5 linked regions of the Bombyx mori genome follow. The protein of the gene in region 2 purifies or fractionates together with the protein of the main gene of each other region. This does not show direct contact. Links are inferred from orthologs where the notes say so. Each region holds a gene or a part of one and is shown on either strand. Other genes may lie near its edges. The genes, in order: TIP41-like protein, serine/threonine protein phosphatase 6, mitogen-activated protein kinase kinase kinase 7, serine/threonine-protein kinase polo and chaperonin containing t-complex polypeptide 1 beta subunit.

Evidence for each region.
Region 1: the proteins of serine/threonine protein phosphatase 6 (region 2) and TIP41-like protein purify together in Homo sapiens (co-immunoprecipitation; 4 studies listed by BioGRID and IntAct, with this or other methods). This does not show direct contact. The link is inferred for Bombyx mori from reciprocal best matches to the Homo sapiens genes PPP6C and TIPRL.
Region 3: the proteins of serine/threonine protein phosphatase 6 (region 2) and mitogen-activated protein kinase kinase kinase 7 purify together in Homo sapiens (affinity purification with western blotting; 3 studies listed by BioGRID and IntAct, with this or other methods). This does not show direct contact. The link is inferred for Bombyx mori from reciprocal best matches to the Homo sapiens genes PPP6C and MAP3K7.
Region 4: the proteins of serine/threonine protein phosphatase 6 (region 2) and serine/threonine-protein kinase polo purify together in Homo sapiens (affinity purification with mass spectrometry; 4 studies listed by BioGRID and IntAct, with this or other methods). This does not show direct contact. The link is inferred for Bombyx mori from reciprocal best matches to the Homo sapiens genes PPP6C and PLK1.
Region 5: the proteins of serine/threonine protein phosphatase 6 (region 2) and chaperonin containing t-complex polypeptide 1 beta subunit purify together in Homo sapiens (affinity purification with mass spectrometry; 4 studies listed by BioGRID and IntAct, with this or other methods). This does not show direct contact. The link is inferred for Bombyx mori from reciprocal best matches to the Homo sapiens genes PPP6C and CCT2.

What each region holds. Positions count from the first base shown.
Region 1 is NC_085119.1:10,607,696-10,611,873, forward strand, and holds the start of TIP41-like protein, read left to right. Parts: upstream 1-1,368; 5' UTR 1,369-1,670; coding exon 1,671-1,685; intron 1,686-1,743; coding exon 1,744-1,916; intron 1,917-2,484; coding exon 2,485-2,664; intron 2,665-3,881; coding exon 3,882-4,095; intron 4,096-4,178. UniProt on the Homo sapiens protein: May be a allosteric regulator of serine/threonine-protein phosphatase 2A (PP2A). Isoform 1 inhibits catalytic activity of the PP2A(D) core complex in vitro. The PP2A(C):TIPRL complex does not show phosphatase activity.
Region 2 is NC_085121.1:5,013,277-5,017,547, forward strand, and holds the start of serine/threonine protein phosphatase 6, read left to right. Parts: upstream 1-1,470; 5' UTR 1,471-1,553; coding exon 1,554-1,718; intron 1,719-1,978; coding exon 1,979-2,124; intron 2,125-2,446; coding exon 2,447-2,588; intron 2,589-3,163; coding exon 3,164-3,318; intron 3,319-4,248; coding exon 4,249-4,271.
Region 3 is NC_085109.1:9,467,087-9,471,060, reverse strand, and holds the start of mitogen-activated protein kinase kinase kinase 7, read left to right. Parts: upstream 1-1,173; 5' UTR 1,174-1,377; coding exon 1,378-1,470; intron 1,471-1,550; coding exon 1,551-1,850; intron 1,851-1,965; coding exon 1,966-2,145; intron 2,146-2,728; coding exon 2,729-2,864; intron 2,865-3,453; coding exon 3,454-3,554; intron 3,555-3,974. UniProt on the Homo sapiens protein: Serine/threonine kinase which acts as an essential component of the MAP kinase signal transduction pathway. Plays an important role in the cascades of cellular responses evoked by changes in the environment.
Region 4 is NC_085121.1:12,625,159-12,629,115, forward strand, and holds the end of serine/threonine-protein kinase polo, read left to right. Parts: intron 1-547; coding exon 548-774; intron 775-1,377; coding exon 1,378-1,514; intron 1,515-2,099; coding exon 2,100-2,281; intron 2,282-2,753; coding exon 2,754-2,887; intron 2,888-3,049; coding exon 3,050-3,162; intron 3,163-3,260; coding exon 3,261-3,455; downstream 3,456-3,957. UniProt on the Homo sapiens protein: Serine/threonine-protein kinase that performs several important functions throughout M phase of the cell cycle, including the regulation of centrosome maturation and spindle assembly, the removal of cohesins from chromosome arms, the inactivation of anaphase-promoting complex/cyclosome (APC/C) inhibitors, and the regulation of mitotic exit and cytokinesis.
Region 5 is NC_085119.1:8,629,986-8,634,004, forward strand, and holds the start of chaperonin containing t-complex polypeptide 1 beta subunit, read right to left. Parts: upstream 2,813-4,019; 5' UTR 2,719-2,812; coding exon 2,716-2,718; intron 2,555-2,715; coding exon 2,381-2,554; intron 2,297-2,380; coding exon 2,161-2,296; intron 1,779-2,160; coding exon 1,559-1,778; intron 681-1,558; coding exon 542-680; intron 411-541; coding exon 202-410; intron 1-201. Other genes in the region: synaptobrevin-1, read left to right, coding at 3,768-4,019. UniProt on the Homo sapiens protein: Component of the chaperonin-containing T-complex (TRiC), a molecular chaperone complex that assists the folding of actin, tubulin and other proteins upon ATP hydrolysis.

The sequences.
Region 1 (4,178 bases), on a different chromosome or scaffold from region 2:
ATTTTTATAGCGTTGATGGTTGGACGAGCTCATGGCGCACCTGATATTAAGTGGTAACCGAAGCCCATAGACATTTACATCGTAAATGCCGCCACTCACTTCGAGACATGAATTCTAAGGTCTCCGTTTTTACAGTGCAACGGCTGCCCCACACTTCAAATCGAAATGCATTACTGCTTCACGGCAGAAAAAGGTGAGATGGTGGTGCTTACCTGTGCGGTCTCACTAGATGTCCTACCACTAGTAAATTCTCACTAAAAATGTGTGGAGGTATACGAGAAAGGGAAGATCTTCCACCAAGCGGGTGATATTGCTCGGTAGACCGACGGTCCCAAAATTTATATTTCGGAATTTGTATATAAGCAAGATAATCTTGAAAATATGGTAAGCGAGATTGAGGCATCTGTCGAATATTTTGTGTTCTGTGATGGCAACCACCACAAATGTGATCGAGAATTTAAGATTTGATTTGTCTGAGCTGATTTTTAAGTAGAAAAAATGGGTTGCCTGTAAAGTTGGCTTGCGGAAGATAGTTTTACGTGATTAGTACGTCATAAGAAACACTGATGAAAAATTGTATACTTTAATTAATTGAATTGAATTAATATCACTGAGTTATAATTTTTTATAAGGAATTAATTGAAAATTATTATTTTTTTCAATAAATTAACACTTGTGTCGATCGTACCTTTCTAACGGTAGTTTCGTTCTCTCGCTTGCACGTTCAGGCTCAGGCGGAACGTGTTACTTTTTCGTGTGTGCAGCCCGTTTTTATTGATTTATAAGACGTTATCACGTCAAAATAACATACAAGTTGATCATTAACATGACACAATAATATTTCAGGAACGCCGTGACATCTCTTTCATCAATGTAGGTTCAACGAGAGCATTTTATGGTAGGTAGCTGATTAGGTAGATGATGTTTCTACGACAGGCAGTGTCCGCGGGCGTCAGACCACTTTCCATCAAGTGGATTGTCTAATTAATCGCTTGTTAATACAAAAAGACACTAACACTAACTACATAGCCTTTTACATAGAAAACCTATTTTTTCTGTAAAGATAAATTCATGAAATTAACTGAAATTGAACTGAATAGGAGGAAATCAAGTTTTTTATTTATTAATTAATATTTTTAGCATGTGCTTCACTTATTGTAATTTATATTATGGTTGATTCCAATCGAAACAATAGCTTAGTGAAACTCGATTTTATAGTTTCTGAAAACGATTCACTGGGTCAACTGCTTGTTTACTATCGATTTTTTTTAAATTAGTTCTTCGAAAAGTAGATTTCAGACCACAGTCAAAAGAACTCTTAAATATTAAATGTGTATCTATGCTAAAAACTAGGTATAACACAATCAAAGACTTGACCTAAAGGTCTTAGTTACCAGGTCATAAAATCCCTTAAAAAATTATCACACTCATAATGACGTCCTACCGACTTAACTACTTATTGGTATAGAAATAAATACATAAATAAACACTAAATAGGGGAAACTGTGACCGAAAAAGTGTTTGGTGTATATTTTGATGTTTACTTTAATTTAATATAAAATGATTTAAATGCAATAACAAAGATTAAAGTGAAGCATCAAGTAATAATTACTAATAATTAACCAAAACTCTTGTTGTTTATCAGCTGAAAATATATCTAACGTGCCAAAATGTTTCGACCAGAAGTAAAGATCCTCAATTTACATAATGTATGATTATTGAAATAATTAAATTTTCTGACAGCCTCTTAACTTACAGGAAACAAATGTTGATGCCGGTCGTCATACGTCTAATTCGCAGTCCATTGAATTTGGTCCTTGGCATATTTCGTATGATGTCAGCCGTATACTACCCAGTATGTGTGCCACTAAGGTGGTTTGCGAGAGAGATGACGACCAATTTTGTCAGTTCTGCACGTAAGTAATAAGTAATCGTTAAATTGATTGAACTGAAATATAGAAACCGAATTGCAATGTTTGTATGAGTTTTCGTTGTTTCAATTATGGTTTTCGGTTTTACATTTGCTTATTAACGTATGTCCACTAATTATGAGTACAAAATGACAAACCTAGTTTAAAGGAGTAAACGGAGTGTGTAGGTGTCAACATAAATACTCACTGCCCTTGACATATAAGGTCAGTCTCATTTGCATTGTAAAAACAGTTATTCTATTGTACATGAGAATCAGACTAACCCATAACTGGCCCATAACAAAAAATTGCAATCATTGTACTGGCATCTATAGAAAAATTATCAATATTTCCCTCACCACTGTTAAGAGAATGTGCGATGTCCAATCTGATCTCTATTCATGTTACTGTTACCTGATGTTATAGTCATATGTATCAGATAGTTCGGATGTTCTCAAACACCATTCAATTTGAACCGAGTTGTACTTATTGTAATAGGTGGCTCACTAGCTGGGAATGCTCACATTACTTAAAAGTAAAATTAATATGTTCATAGTTGATTTATCAATTCCAGTTACTCTAAAGAGCTGAAGATTCCACATTTCCCTGATATGGTATTTCCAAAAAACAGATTAACATTAGCACATAAAAGCGGTGCTAGTATAAACTTTAATCCTCTGGATGCTCTTAAAAGGGTGGCTAGCACAGTGGAGCCAGTTGAAGTGTCCTGTTCTGAAGTGTGGATGCAAGCACGGTAATGAAACCTATTTAATCTGTGGGCTTAACTTTATTAATTGATGTCATATTTACTAAAATTGGATTTAGTGAAAAATACAATCTAATATAAGTTCTAAAAATTATTTGTTAATAAACTCAAGATATTATTATTCAAAGATTTATGGGTATATTGAGTAGATGTAAGAAGGGATACCTTTTATTGCTATTGTAAGATATAGCTAAAAATAAAAAAAGGTAAAAACAACGGACTTATACAAAAGTGACACCTACATTACCCATAGACATTTATTAGAACCTTACCTATTTTTATTTAAACAAAATATTCTTACAGTTGTTACAACATTATTTTTATTGTTGATAAGATACTGTTTTGGCAAATCATTGTAGTGCCCTCTTGCATCCAATTGGTTTAATAAGAGACTGAGAAACAAGCGTTTCAATGTTTGAAGTCATCGTGGCCTAAAGGATAAGACATCCGATGCATTCATATCTAGTGATGCACCAGTGTTCCTATCCCGCTGGAACGTACCAATTTATCTAATGAAATACGTACTTAACAAATGCTCTCAATTAACTATCGTGGTGAAGGAATAACATCGTGTAATAAAAAAAAAACCCGCCAAATTATAATTTGTGTAATTACTGGTGGTAGTACCTCTTGTAAGTCCGCACGGGTAAGTACCACCACTCTGCCTATTTCTGTCGTAAAGCAGTAATGCGTTTTGGTTTGAAGGGTGGGGCAGCCGTTGTAACTATACTGAGACCTTAGATTTTATATTTCAAGGTGGGTGGTGGCATTTACATTGTAGATGTCTATATGGGGTCCGGTAACCATTTAACAACCAGGTGGATTGTGAGCTCGTCCAGCCATCTAAGCAATAAAAAAAGTATTATTACAAATGAGTCGACTATTATCAAAGCCGGCAATGTGACTTTTGGACAATTATTGGTAAATCAGAAAAACGAATGATTGACTTTGTATTCCATTGGCAGTCACAAAACTCTTCTGAACGACATCTTAGATAAATAACAGGTTAAGTATTAACCTTTATTTAATGCAGGTTTTGAACCGTATTCTTTGAAGGAGACGATTATATTCAAATCAATCTGTATTGACATAACAATAACATTTTTTTGTCAAAATGCACAGATTGCCATCTTTGATAATAGACGACTCAAATAACAGTATTAACACAATGGTTGAAGTACATATGATGAATATTTTTATTTTAGACCATATGCAGAAAAGTTGAAGAAATCATTTGATTGGACTTTTTGTACAGATTACAAAGGATCTATCAGTGATAATATTACAGTTTGGGAAACTGAAGAGTCTATTGATTTTGAACTGTTAAAACAGAAAAACCAGATACTCTTCTACCATGATTTGACTTTATTTGAAGATGAGCTGCATGATCATGGTGTATCAAAGCTCTCAGTGAAAATTGTAAGTACACCATTAATATTTAGAAAATATTTAACATAAAGGATATATCGGGGCAAATATGATGATTCACCTACTTATTATAA
Region 2 (4,271 bases):
AATTTTCCGGCTCGCCTCGCCAGTCAAAATGAAGCAGATCGGTTTCCGGTCCTACCACGTTCCGAAGGACTTCGTCGGCAGCTATTACGTTAGCCGGGAAGCGCGCGCCCAAAATATACCGTCAACTTTATCGGGTTCAGAAAAGGACAAATTTTGTGTTTCACGCTGAAAACTTTATTTCTACAGTTTAGTAGTTTACTTACCTTGATAATAATAAAAAATCAAGTAAAAATACTCACCGTAAGTATTAAAATTCTTCACAATGCGGCACGACACTTATATCACAGCACACGCGAACCACACATTTGCAAATGACAACTTCAACTTTGTTTTTTGTTTTTTTATAATTTTTTCCAGGACTGGAATACGGTCTATTGGTTTTATTTGGTTGGAAATTTATCAAAGAAGCAGGAAAGATATATATAAACACACTAATGAACGAGCAAGACGGATAATATTCATAAAACTAGAGGAAGGTCAAGTCAAGAGGGCTTGTAGACCACTAGTCCACACGGGCAATTTAATGGTCCTAAATCTAGTAGACTTGTGGTCTACGGGGCATAATAAGGTGCAGAATTTTGCAGACTGGTAGTCTACGGGGCAATGAAGCGGCTAATGGGTACACTGACGTACTGTCTAAACGAGTACAGAATCTTCAGAATCAGAATCTATATACCTACAGCTTATGTTTTTCAAAATCCAGTATACATCTGTTTACTTCTTGACTATTTGCGTCATTTGATTATTTTGGTCGAATTAAGCATCGTGATATCGATTTAATAACCCAGTAATATAACCATAGGCCAAAAATTATTTTGTCTTTGCCTTTAAAATAGACAAATTATAAATTGGCGGTTTCATATCACATATTATACATTAGAGAATGTGGAATAGAGACATCTTCAAACACAACATGAAATTATTTTATTTTACAACAAGTCAACTGGGGACTGGGGACCTTATGCAGTCGGTTGGGCGGGAGAGCGCGAGGATTACGAGTTGTGATTTTTTTTTTTTATAATTTAGTGTCTTTATAGTTTTAAACGTGTAGTGATGGTCGTTTACTGTTTAGCATCTGTAAAAGGACACAATTGTGGGAAAATGAAACAAGGCCGCTAGACATAACTTCTAAGGATCTCCAAAAAATTCAATAAATGACCACTATTTTGTAGAGCCTTTAAGTAATTCTGTATAGAATTCTATATATCTAATTAATTCTATATAGAATTAATTAAAGGCTCTACAAATGAGATAATATTATCTCGTTTCATTTCTTAATTGATTAACGGCTCAAATTAATCAAGTTATTTCCTTTTGCTCCATGTCATTTTTCATAAAACATAATTTACAAAAGATTAGACAGTATGGTGTTACATCTTCGCCTTTCCAATTAGAAAAACGGAACAGAGAACTGCCACTTTTGCATGTCTGTCACTGTCAACCAGTCTAAGGCAATTCATTTACCTCTAGTTCGGATTTATGCATTTAATATAAATTAAGGTTAAAAGGCCATTCTTCGTTTATCCGTAAATATATTTTAATTTGTTTTAGAAATGACGGATATAGATAAATGGATAGAAGTTGCAAAGAGATGCAAATACCTCCCGGAAGATGACCTACGGGAACTGTGCAATATAGTTTGTGATTTGTTACTTGAAGAACCTAATGTTCAGCCGGTACAGACACCTGTGACGGTTTGTGGTGATATTCATGGACAGGTAAGCTGCCTGATCCAACTGAAACATTTAAAATTACATCGGAAAACTAACCAGCTTATTCTCTTGTGACTTTACAACTTAAATCATTTAAAAAAGTTTGTTGGATAAAACCATCAGTTAATTTTCTAAATTACTGCAACTAATAAATTGTAAATTCAATTATAAGTATAAGAATAATAATAATGAAATGTTTAGTAATGAAATGTCTAAGAGCTCCTGTAGAAAAACTATATTTCAAAATGTAATTTCAATATTTTCAGTTCTATGATTTAGAGGAGCTTTTTCACATAGGTGGTCAAGTGCCATATACAAAATACATATTTATGGGAGATTATGTGGATCGAGGATATTATAGTTTAGAAACACTAACCTTGCTCATGGCCTTGAAAGCTAGATATCCAGATAGGTGAGTTGTACTTTAAAAAATTTAAAGTATTAAGTCAAAGATATGGATGAAAAAATACATATTGCTGTTACGTAATTATATCAATTATTATTAATATCAATTATCATTATATCAATATTGATTGAGGTTATATGAAATCAATAAATTTCCCCATTAATCAGAATAAGTTTTTTCATAATATACAAATAAAGGTAACTCCAGATAATAAGTATTTATGGATGCAAAATTAATATTGTTTTTTTTTGTCAATATTATTTCGTTGATACACATTGCCTTTCAACATCTTGTTTAATAATATTTATATTCAAATCTTCTTATTCAGGATAATCTTATTAAGGGGTAATCATGAAACATGTCAAATAACTAAGGTTTATGGATTTTATGATGAATGTCTCAATAAATATGGAAATGCAAATGCATGGAAAGACTGTTGCAGAGTTTTTGATTTGCTCACTGTTGCTGCAGTAAGTGGACATTGAATAAATATTATCTAAAATAAAAATATAAATTAGCTTAAAATTTTAGTTATAAAGCTTATTTCTTAAGAATAAATTGGGATTATGGTTCATGTTTGTCATAGTTTTATGGCTGAAAACTTCAGACAATTTTGCAATTTTAACGAAGTCAATAACATTTTCAACAATAAAATGATGGTATCAATTTTTCTAATGATATAAGTACTGAACACATGTGTCCAAGTGACTTCCATGATGGAGGATTACTAATTTGTAATAAAAATTGAACCAACTAGGTATGTACTAAGTATAATTTGTATAATTAATTTAGGTAGGGCATCTTGTTAACCGGCACAGGTAGATATCATTATCGCGCTTATTTCTAAGATGAAGCAGGCATTGTACTGCAAAACAGAGTTAGAACTTTGTCTCGAGGTGGGGGATAAGATTGGCTTTTGTTCATGTTTACAGACTAGTAACCACTTAATAATAGGTGGGCCGTAAACTCCTTTATCTATATAAGCAATAAAAAAATTAAATTAGATTATGTTACAACAAATCATTTAAGTCAGCAACTTTTACAGTTAATTGATGAAACCGTCCTATGTGTGCACGGTGGTCTATCACCAGAAATATCTATGATTGATCAAATAAGATGCATTGATAGAAATCAACAAATTCCACACAAAGGTGCATTCTGTGATTTGTTGTGGTCAGATCCTGCTGATGTGAAAATGTGGTGAGTATGTAGCTAATGCTGATGTAGAGTATATGAAAGATGTAGAATGTAGGCTCTGGGTAAGACATTGTCTGGTTTCACTCATCCTCACTAATTAAAAGTACTTTTACGGTTTAATCTTGTGTTTTGTATAATTATTACAGTCAAAACCGTTTACTGCGACATCGTTTAATACAACATGCCGGTTATAATAACCAAGAACAAAGGTCCCGGCTGAATGCCATATGACCGCCTTATTAAAAATATTGCTTTCTACGACATACCTCATAAAACGACCACATTTAACTAATATTTCGGAGAATTAGATCTGTTAGAACGACCGGCTAAGCTGTATTGTAAACAATTTGAATAGGTATCCACATTTGTCTTCAATGGCTTTTAAAATCACGAAAGAAAACAATAGGATTTAGTTTAGTGTAGGGTCTTTTCTAATTCTTAGAAACAAAACACGTGCATGCGGTAGTCAAAGTCCGCTTCTTCATATTTCTTCAGTTAGTTTGTTACTTATCTATACACAAGACGCACCAAAACTTTGTGGAGTTATTCATGAAACTTTAAAAATGTCACAAAAAAAAAGAAAACAAATTAATATTGAAGAAAAATCGCGTATTATGTAAATATATTTTTCCAATAATTCCCTATCGATTTATTTGTACTTGCGCGATACACATTAAACATCACCGGTTGTTACGACTATCGGTTTTTACGACTGAATATGAGCAGTCCCTTCGATGTCGTTATAACAGATTTTGACTGTATATTATTTCTAATATTTCTAATACTTTATAGTGTTTGTGGTCCAAACTAGGTCACTTTGTGTACTAAGTGTCAGTATGATCATGATAAGATTTAGTGTTTTAATTGTGGAGAACCCAGATCCAAATGATTATAAAAAAAAACATGTAATAATACATTTTTTTTAATGTACAGGTCAGTAAGTCCTCGTGGAGCTG
Region 3 (3,974 bases), on a different chromosome or scaffold from region 2:
CTAGACCGCTGCGTTTTATGAGTGCAAGTACGACCAGAGGAAAATCTTTTTCCTAAGGAAGACCCCCGTTTTAGAAGCCAATTTAGCTTTACTTACTCCCTTAAACCGGCGAAATTAAAATTCGATAATGACTCAATATACTAACTGCATTAATTTTAAATATTGAAATTGAGGTGTCTTGAACCTTAATTTCATCTTTAAGGTGTGAGACCTCCACGGTCTCAAATATTAACTGCTTCGTACTTTAACATCATACCTACATATCAGAGAAACAACTCTAGGTTTTTAGTATTTCTAACCAAGAGATGAATGGATCTAGGAGCTCCCAGATATGGGGAGCGGTACATATGGCGCAGAACCGGACCGAGTGGAGAAGATTGACATACAGTCACGATCCTCAGCATTGAGGGAACGACCAAAAAGAAGGAGCTCCCAGATACAACTGTCTTCGCCTTCAATGTGACTCGCAGACGGTAAAAACTGTAAATAAACTGTAAGCTATAGCCAATCTGGAACAACACAGGCTCGAAATGTAGAAGATTTTATATAATGACTAGCTGACCCGGCAAACATTGTTTTGCCATATATAAGATTTCTAGGGAATTTCTAGGGTAGAAAAAAAAACTAACTTATTGTAAGTGTGTAAGGATGTGGTAAATGAGTGAAAGAGGTATGTAGTGCTGTGAACGATGAGGGAATATATAATAAAATAACAAAACCTCATTCAACCACATAATACCTCATTATAACAAAAAAAAAAGTCCAAATAAAAAATAAAATGTTAGGGGTGGACAACACTAATCACTTAGGGGTATGAAAAATAGATAGTAGCCGATTCTCAGGCTTACTGAATATGCATAAAAAATTTCATGAGAATCGGTCAAGCGGTTTCGGAGGAGTATGGGAACGAACATTGTGACACGAGAATTTTATATATTAGATGAGGATAAAAACAACCATTAAACAGGAAAATATATTTTAAAAAATGGTCATAACTAATATACCTACTAATCCGGGAGAAATAAACATCTCATTCTCAGAAAAAAACTTAAATAATTAATTAATTTGGCATATTATTCTTATTAATTAAATGCTATTTCTGTACTCAAAGTGTAAAAACCACAGTTTTTTTGTAAATCCTACCGATAGATCAATGTCAACAATGAGCTCGGCACATCTCTATCGAAATATGACATTTGTTCTACAGTTTCAAAGATGGCGGCCTTGTCGCAGTTGCTTTTTTCTGCCAAACAATACTGAAGAAATTGAGTTAACCAACTATTTTTACCAATTTATAAAGAAAACTTATTAGTTTGTAACACATAAGGCTTGTATAATCTTTCTAGTCATATTGATAATGTGATAATAAGTGTACCAATGGCTTCCAATAGTTCCAATGTGCAAGACTCGCCAGTTCATCAGCAGACGTTTGTGGAGGAGATTGATTACAGTGAAATACAGGAGCTTTCGGTAAATATTTGGACACAGATACGTTTTGACAAAATCAAAGTTTTTAATAGCATGTTCTGAGATTCTTAAAAATTCGACAGGTCGTAGGGAAAGGGGCCTTCGGTGTTGTCTGGAAGGGTGTATGGCGGAACAGATTTGTAGCGGTAAAGCACATAAATTCAGAGGCGGAGAAACGTGAATTTGCGATCGAGGTACGCCAGTTATCTCGCGTATGTCACCCAAACATTGTGCGATTGTACGGAGCGTGCACGCGGGGTGCTCACGTATGCCTCGTCATGGAGTATGCAGAAGGTGGCTCTCTCTATAATGTACTACACAACCGACCCAAACCCAAATACACAGCAGCACATGCAATGAGCTGGGCCCGCCAGTGCGCTGAGGTAATAATTTACTATTGATCATCAAAATACAAAAGCCAGTGTATTATATTAAGTATTATCTTAAATACAAAATTATTTTTAATTGTGCAATGGATTAAAAATACCATTGTTTTAGGGTGTAGCATACCTTCACTCCATGAAACCAAAACCATTAATACACAGGGATTTAAAACCACCCAATCTATTATTAGTGGGTGGAGGGCAACGCCTGAAGATTTGTGATTTTGGCACAGCAGCTGATAAGGCAACATACATGACGAATAATAAAGGCAGTGCTGCTTGGATGGCTCCTGAGGTTTGTATTCCAAAAACAGTGTAATGCAATAATAGAACTTTACTACTAAACTATATGTATAAACTAAACTTGACTATAAATAATTAAGATCATTATAATGACGATGAAAATGAAATAACTATTATTTTGTGTTTGTTACTTTTTCTGCTTCATTCAGTTTTATAATATTATTACCAGCATCTAATAGTATTTTAAAATTATAAGGACAAACATTATCTTTGAAAAAGAGTACGGAAAATAAAATCAATATTTACTTTTATAACTTTTTTATAAAAATAAAAGCCACAATGAAACTTAATTGCATGGATTATAAAAGGAAAAACTTTAAAGTACTAATAGTTATTGAAACCAAACCAAAATAACTTGAATTTCATTGTGTGTAATAAGATAAGGTGAAATTACAAATTACTCAGCAAATTGTTTAGCGTATAGAAATATTTTAAGCTTAGCTGAATTTAAAATTTAAATCATTATGCTTTTAAATATTATTTAACCACAATGCCTTATATTAGATAGAAGAAATAAATGAATAGGAAGATTATAATTCAAAGCTTTTAAAACATTACTGTTTAATGTTTTTCAGGTATTTGAAGGATCAACATACACAGAAAAATGTGATGTGTTCTCATGGGGGATAATACTGTGGGAGGTATTATCTAGGAGGAAACCATTTGAAGAAGGTGGTTCTGCATATAGAATAATGTGGGCGGTGCATACAGGTTTGATCTGTTATTTAAATTGTTATTTAGTGAAGATACAATAGTTGATCGTTGATTAGATATTATGGTAAAACTTACTAATTTTCATCCAATATGCTTATTATGACAAAAAAATTCGTGCTATTAAATTTTAAGAAATCTATTATGGTTGCGAACAAGTTTCGATTGACTGTGTGTTAAAAATTTCACACTTGCTTGATTATAAAGTGGATCAAACTGAGAATCACATCTCGAAGCGTACTGTCATAATTGGGTCACCTATCATAATTGGTTACTCTTGCTTATGGAAATGAAGAGTTCAGTGCTACTATCCTAACCTGCTACTAAGACCCTGTATTTATGTGTGTGTGTGAAAACAGGATAAACTTTAAGAAAAAAGATCTTAATGGAAAATCTCTACATCACAATAGAAATTGTGGTTAATAACCTAAGTGTAGAAAATAGGGATATGACCAAAAAATTTTTTCAAGACAAAAAAATTACTATTGTTGACTTGTGTGTATTTATCACAATCATTTTAATATTTAGGGTAATTGAATTAATAATATGCTGATGCCTGAATTTCAGTTACATAACTGTGAATTTTCAGGTCAAAGACCAAATCTAATAGAGGGATGCCCGGAGCCAATAGAGCAGCTGATGACACAATGTTGGCACAAAATACCAGCACAAAGACCAAGCATGGCCAAGGTATGTTTCATTTTAACTATTAATTGCTCTCAAGGTGCAACCTTTTGAACTGAGCAGTTTGGCTGTCTTTTAAATTTTACTTCATCAAATATTAAACAGTAAAGAGTCAGAATTCAGCTTTCACATGAAGCTATTTTATAAGTGAGACTATTATTTATAAAATCATGTATTACAGTTACGTTTGGATTGCATTTTACAAACATCTTACAAACAGAATTACCAAAACGAAAATGTAACTGAACTTTGTGCATGTGTCACAAAAAAAATCATGTTATGTGGCTACCAAAACCTATAGACATTACAATGTGAATGCTGCCATGCAGCTTGTGGTGTATATGTCTCAATTGAATGGCAGTTACACAAATTATAATTCTCGTGGGCTTACTTTTAAATGTCTATTTTTTTTTATATTCATCTACT
Region 4 (3,957 bases), about 7.6 Mb from region 2:
AGGGTGATCATGATGTGCAGCTTTATGTATTGTGGATATTTCTAACGTCTGCTTAACTTACAACACAAGTCATACTTAGTCTTAGTAATGTAAAAAATGTTTCTAATTTCGAATCTAAATGTATTTCAATCTCAATCATTAAAATTTAAAACAGCACTAAGTTTAAAATTATTACTAGGAATTATTAATAACGCAATATTATAAAACAAACTATGTACTACTTACTATACTATATAATATGTTGAAACTGAATTAGGAAAATAATACTATTTGTATATAGAGTTCCTAATTCTAAGAGTTAAAGTAACTTTTTGTTATTAACTGAGAAATTTGGTCACTAGAGCCAACACTTCACTCGATTGTCAACCAGAGCCAGGCACCAGACTACAATGTGATCATTCGTGTTGTAGTCTGGTGCAGGCCTAGTGTTATAAAATTGACATCCCTGTTGGTATAGCTCTATGACTACTGTTCTTCTGGCCTTCTAATATAACAATTCCCTTGGTCTTCACGTTTGTCGATCTCGAACAATCAAATATATCTTCAGGATTCCGTCGTCGCTTCGCAAACCGGCGGCGTCCATGATTGTACTGCAGTTGCAATCGAACCCTGCGCGTCGTCCGTCCGTGGACAAACTTCTGCAGCATGAATTCTTCTCATCGGGGATTTTGCCAGCCGGGCTGCCCGTCTCTTGCCTCACCACAGCGCCGCGCACTGACCAGCTCGAGGGCATGCTGGTACACCGCCGCCCTCTTAACGAAGTTCATGCTAACGGTGCATATATTGTAATTTATTTAATCGCAGGCTAGACTTCGAGACTTTCTCCCTCATAAATTGATGAGGGAGAGTTCAATAATAATTAAAGAAATTATAGTTTTAAATGGTAAAATATCATCGCAGTTACGATGAACACTAAAGAATATGTCGGATATGCGCGGATCTTTATTAATGACCCGACAGACTTCGTAGTGCCTCAATCGATAAATAAAAAAAAGACCTAAACTTTTGCATAAAATAAACTTAAAACAAACAAAAGGAATCCGTTTGACGGGGTACACATCAAAGAAAAACAAAATTGTTATTTTTATTCAATTCTGAGCATTTTCATATTTAAACCTTCTCTGGACTTCCACAAATAATTCTAGACCAAAATTAGCCAAATCGGTCAAGCCGTTCTCGAGTTTTAGCGAGACTAACGAACAGCAATTCATTTTTATATATATAGATAGATAGATAGAAGATTCATTAAGGAGCACTTATGCACATCAAAATCTTCATAGAATCAAAAAAGCAGCATTTTTCTCCTTTTATAATTAGCTACTTTAAAATTCAACATAAATGAATTGACATTTATAATACGTACTTTCAATTGAATAGAACAAGAGACGATGGCAGTGGACTCGCCCGTCAAACGCGAAGCTACCCCCGCGGGGCCACGAGCTGTGGAACCAACGTCGCACCGCCAGAATTTTATTGCACTGCGAGACCAGCTCGCTGCATTGTTGGTTAACAAGGTAAAATATAGTTTTTTTTTATATTAATACTAGCGACCCGCCTTCGCTTCGCTTCGGAAACATTAAATTTTATTATTAATTAATAGCTGAGTCTCGCGATGTTACCCGCGGTTATTGTCGTACCGCGAGTGAGGCCGCGGGGCGAAGCTAGTCTTAAAAAAGTAGCCTAAGTTACTCCTTATATCATCAGCTACCTATCAGTGAAAGTCTCGTCAAAATGGTCTAGCCGTTCCAGAGATTAGCCGGAACAAACAGACCGACAAAAATTGTTAAAAATGTTATTTTGGTATATGTACCGTATATATATTCATATTATGCGCTTAGTAAAAAGCGGTTATTTCAATATTACAAATAGACACTCCAATTTTATTTATATGTATAGATGAGAAAAAATACCTATGGTCTAAATAACATTTAATAGGCTCTAGTTTTGAAATAGGGCAGGACCGTGCTATGAACTGGTATACGCTGATAACCTTATCATAAGTAGAAATAAATTGATAAACTCTTCATCTTATGGAACTTTTGTAACTTAATTATAAACAACTAGTTTGACTGTATGTTGGCATTTTCTATAACTTTTAGCTGAAATGCCGACCGGAGGCTCTGACAGACGAGCTGAGCGATCCCGCAGCACAGCCGCTGGTGTGGGTTGGCAAGTGGGTCGACTACAGCGACAAATACGGATTCGGATACCAGCTCTGCGACGAGAGCGTCGGTGTCATGTTCAACGATACTACCAAGCTTATCATGCTCGCTAATGGACTGTAAGTTTACGTTTAATATAAATATTAGATGATAATATCAGATATACATATTTTTAATTATATTATATTATAGTAGTATACAACAGGCGCTTGCAACAGTTTCGAACTCACTAAAATTCGAAATCACGTTCGAATCACTAAAGCTTAAAATAGTTTTTTTTTTTATATCTTTATAATGAGAATCAAAGTATAATATGTCATAAAACGAATGCATTGCACACTCAAAATTAGAATCAAATCATAGCTCACACAAACTTTAAACATATTTTGAAGAAAAAAAATTCGCAATACACTTTTTTATACAAGTGATAAGAATCCATAGACATCATAATATGTTAATAGCATATTCCTTGCGGCGTGATTCTCAATTGTTTTGTATTATGACTGTAATGTGCAGATTAGCAAGCAACAAAATCTTCATATTGCTATCTGAAAAAATAAAAGGAGATCTGCATAAACTATCCTTTTTCAGGAATGTGCACTACATCAATCGGCAGGGCCAAGAGCAGTACATGACGATGCGCGATTACCCGCAAGAACTCGACAAAAAAATGAAACTCCTTACATACTTTAGACGATACATGACCGAACATCTCATGAAAGCTGGTAAATTTTTCAACATCCATTGTCATCACTAAAGCATATAAATCAAATAGAATATTCAGAAAACAAAATGTGTGAGCAATAGTTTTCTTATGGCATGAGTAACTAATGTATTCATACTTAACAACAATGTTATCGCTTTTAAATAAATTTACCATTATCCAGGTGCTTCAGTACCAGTGCGAGAGAGTGATGGTCTGTCTCGTTTGCCACATTTACACCAGTGGTTTCGAACAACTTTAGCTGTTATTATGTACCTGACTAATGGAACTTTACAGGTTAGTAGAATTATATTTTAATGCTGTTGGCATATAATTTTTATTGATCTGTTATATTTCTTTCTCATCATGATTGTTTTTTTTTTCTAATATTACAGATAAACTTCCAAGATCACACAAAGATAATACTGTGTCCACTTATGCAAGCTGTCACCTACATAGATATAGAGAAGAATTTCAGAACATTCCGCTTTAATACCATTGAAGAGCATGGCTGTGATAAAAAGCTTTACACAAACCTCACATATGCATTGGAAAAACTAAACAGTGTATTGGCAAACAAACTGTGCTAGTTTTCACTGAACCTAAATGAGTAAATGAATTTGTGGGCTTTGTGGAAAGCTCCAATGAAGAACTGTGTAAACCAAGAGACCCTGCTTATGTAAATAGCAAAAAAGTTTGAAATCACTACAAATTTTCATCATTCTGTTCTTATTGATTGAGATAGTCTGTACTTGATAAAAAAAATCTTTACACTTAAATTTCCTAGGGTCTCCTACTTTTCTAAAATAAAAATTATATTACCTTTTGTATTTTTAGGATAGTCACCAGTATATTATAATTTAATAGAAGGGTCACTAAAATCAATTTTGTACCCTAAAATTTCAAACTTAGGTTAAAAATCCACCGATACTGTCTATTTATTTAGTAAATACTTTTTAATGATTTAGCATCAAATTATTTTGCCGATTCAGTATATGAGCAAAACTTTCGACTTTTTTTTTTATTCTTTAAATATGTGTCTTTGGTTGTTAATACATATTATATTCCATTTGATGCAAAACTTACTGACTT
Region 5 (4,019 bases), on a different chromosome or scaffold from region 2:
CTTGACCAACTAAGCAAATACAAAATAAAAACAACTTATGACTCACTGACTGAAAAATAATAATTAAGAACCAATATTTGCAACAGCAATCAGTTTTGTATAAGAATAAGTAATGTATAATAATAAGTAATCTATAATAATATTTTCTGAGTATCCAAAAATAGAGCAATTATACAAATCTTTATAGCAAAACAATCTCACCTGTTAATGAAGACATTACATTTGTGTGCTAAAATCTTGTTCACTTTGTCCTTCATTTTCTCTTTCTCAGCTACTTCCAATTCAGCAATCTTGGCCATTGAATCCACTTTAATTGTGGAACCAAACACTTTAATCTTGTCAGTGTCCATTGGTGTGTTTGCAATAAGGATGTTAGCATTTTCTACTTTCTTTGGTTGATGTACACCAACCTATAAGAAATAATATGCCCATTAAAATTTTTGTATCTATAGGTACTGTTTTTCTTTATTAATGTAATGATCAAATAGAAAAACTAAAGAGCACTAAAACTCAATCATTCAAAGGTTTTTTTAAAACTTACTTTTTTGTTTAGCAAGAACCCTTCATCCAAGAATGACTCTTCAAGAAGACCTCCAGATATTTTGATAATTTGGATAGCTTTTAAATTACCAGATCCTTTCAAACGCAAAACTGCATCAACTGCTAATTTTGTGAAATGCCTGAAAGAATATTATACAGTTTATACTGTCTTTGGCCTGAATATTTATGCAACTATGTTGTATGTATATCGTAATGCCTATTGGCTCTGATAGCACTTGAGACTAAGTGCACTATTGAGGCTAATTAAAAAAATACCTCAAGCTTTAGTAATTTGGATAAAAAATATAAATCTCGGCACTACCTTTGGTTGACTGGTAGAGAATGCCTTAGGCATTAATTCCGCCAATGTAAATTTAACATGAAGTGTAATAAATAAATAAAAATCTCATAAAACATTTCACCCCATTTGTACAGTTTCTGTGTTAAAAAATATGAGAAATGACTTTAATTAACCTCTGCTTTTTGGGCTTAGATAATCTGATGCCAATATTTTCTAGATAAGCTGACACATAGACAAACTACAGTTTTTTTTATATCTGCTATTAAGCTACAGCTAAATGACAAAAGAAATTATGATTCTTAGCCAAAAGTTATAATTATTCAGCCATTACTGGTAAATTTACATTATTTTTAAAGCAGATTCTCATGACTTATACTCTTTTTACGCTCAACTCATTGATATAAAGTTGTCCTCTAAATCTTTGGTGATCACAACTCTAAAAAAATCAGAACTTAGACATTCTAATGAAGACCCTGATTGCAAACACTGGTAGATAAAATTGAGTTGCCCTACAAAAAAAAAATACACATAGTAACATTAGCAATACAGCAATAAGTCTTGGAAAATAAAAGACCTAATGAATTAAAATATATGTATATCTAATAATATTGGAATTAATATACTAGTATGTCACAGATATAGCTAATAAATAAAGATATTTTTCAATTGGTATTGAAAACAATGTAATTTCACAGTATACTGGTTTTCACTACTCACTCTTTGTGATTTGAAAGGATCTTTGAGCTCAGTGTGGTCCGTGCGATGTTTTCTAAATCCACTCTTAATGAAGCCTCATTTAAGTTCTTCTGATGATCAAAGCTAGCTTCTGCAAGAGCTTGTTTGGCTGCATCAGAAGCAATTCTCCAACCAGCAATGATTGTTTGAGGGTGCAGTTTTTGTTCAATTAATTTTTCAGCCTCTCGAAGTAATTCAGCAGCTGAATTTAAATAGAACTTTTATCATTATGAGATGCGTTTACATGAATTACAAAAAAAAATCTGATTATATGTTAAAAATAGTATATTTACAAACATATTTCAACTATTTGGTAAGTTTTTTTAAATTTATAACAATGTACAGAGTCAATGTGTTGGCCGAGGTGTTTCCCTAGCGCCTTGCTTGCTTGTTCTTTTTCAAACGAGGCTTGTGGAGAGTACTCAACAGTGGGCAGTGGCTTAGCTCTGCCCCTGGCATTGCTGAAGTCCATGGGCGACGGTAACCACTTACCATCAGGTGGGCCGTATGCTCGTCTGCTTACAAGGGCAATAAAAAAAAATTAAATTAAAGACAACATTATTGTCACTAAAGTTTAAACTAACCCAAAACTGTAACAGATGTGGTGCCATCTCCGACTTCTTCATCTTGTACCTTAGACATATCTACTAGGATTTTAGCAGCAGGATTATCCACACCGATAGATTTCAATATCGTAGCACCATCATTTGTTACTTCGACCTGAAGCGAAAATTCTTTATGCATAAAACATTTCAAAACACAGCATACATTATTAATGTTTAATAAAAAGACAGTTAATTTTACCTGACCAGAGTTCCTCCCGCAGGAAACTAAGATCTTATCCATTCCTTTGGGACCTAAAGTACTCTTTACCAAATCTCCTATGGCAATAGCACCGATGAAACTGGACATCCGGGCAACTTCAGCTTTCTCCTCTTCTGCTTCATTTTTAAGGATACGAATTGGATTTAATGATACCTGTATTAAATTAATTTTAATTTAGAATTACATGTACACGTGCGTGAGGTTATACGGCATCGGGTTCTATTTTCACTTAGTTTTCACTGAATACGTCGTTTTTACTTATAAGTATCAGTAACAATGAAGATACGTTAGATTAAATTAAAGATTTTACTAACCATTTTGGATGAAGGACCTAATTAATTATTTTTCTTTACGCTTTTATCGGCTACAATGCACAAAGAGAAAAGGGAACGACCGAACGACCACTTTGATCACTAATAATGTATACTCTATGTCATGTATTATCTATGCTCTATGTATTTGCTCTCTGTTTTTTGCTAAACTTGTCTATTGGAAAAGCAAAGGGAACGAAACTCATGTAATGAAATCTTGTATTACAAAAATCAAAGCCTCGTATGAATATTGAAATGGAAGTGATTTTACAAATGAAATCGAAGAATGAATCTTTGGTGGAAATGCAAATTGATTGACCGAAGTTATGCGAATTCATTTATTTTATTAGTGAATTGTCTCCTCAGATTAAAACGTGTGTTCATAGTAATTTATTAATTAGGGCAGCTTTGACAGGGAGAATTGAAGTCAATAAAATCGCTGAACGTTGTTTATGATCTCTTTTTTTTTATCGTCACATTTCTGTCGCCATAGCCGAACCTAAAACCACTGCGTTTTCAAAAAGATTTCTTGCTACATACAATTTAGTTTTGGAATAAACTCTCCTCCATTACATTTTTTGAATACTATTTGACCTGGTTGTGCTGTTGATGATGATCATGAGCGATGGTTATAAACATATTTCAACGATGGCGAATAAAATTGAATAAATGGCTGTGGTTTTTGTTACAAAATCGTACTAAAGTTCATCCGTATATACCTTATACACTGCCTTAAAATAAAGTTGAATACCACTGCATCAAATCGTTAAATTTCATCAAGTTACCAGCTTTGAAACGTTATAAATGAAATACAAAAATCTCGAAATTTTACTATTTGAAATCTATTTATCGATTAAAAATCGTTTCATTTTGGTTAAGCAATCAATCTTAGAGCGCCATCCGCCATCCCTAATCCTAATATTTCTATTTAGTCTGTGGTGACGCCATATTTACATTCTACGCCCGTCACCAGTGACCGAATAATAATATTCTGCATTAATCTAGTTACATTCACATTGAAATTTAATAAAAACAGTTCATAATATACAGTAAAAATGGAAGAACAAGGAGGAAGTTCCGCACCAAGAGTAAGCGACAAACGCTTGGCACAAACACAAGCCAAAGTAGATGAAGTTGTTGGCATTATGCGTGTCAATGTCGAGAAAGTTTTGGAAAGAGACCAAAAATTGTCGGAACTAGATAATCGCGCAGATGCGCTGCAACATGGGGCTGCACAGTTTGAACAGCAAGCTGGAAAACTTAAGCGCAAGTATTGGTGGCAGAATTTGAAGATGATGTTAATTATA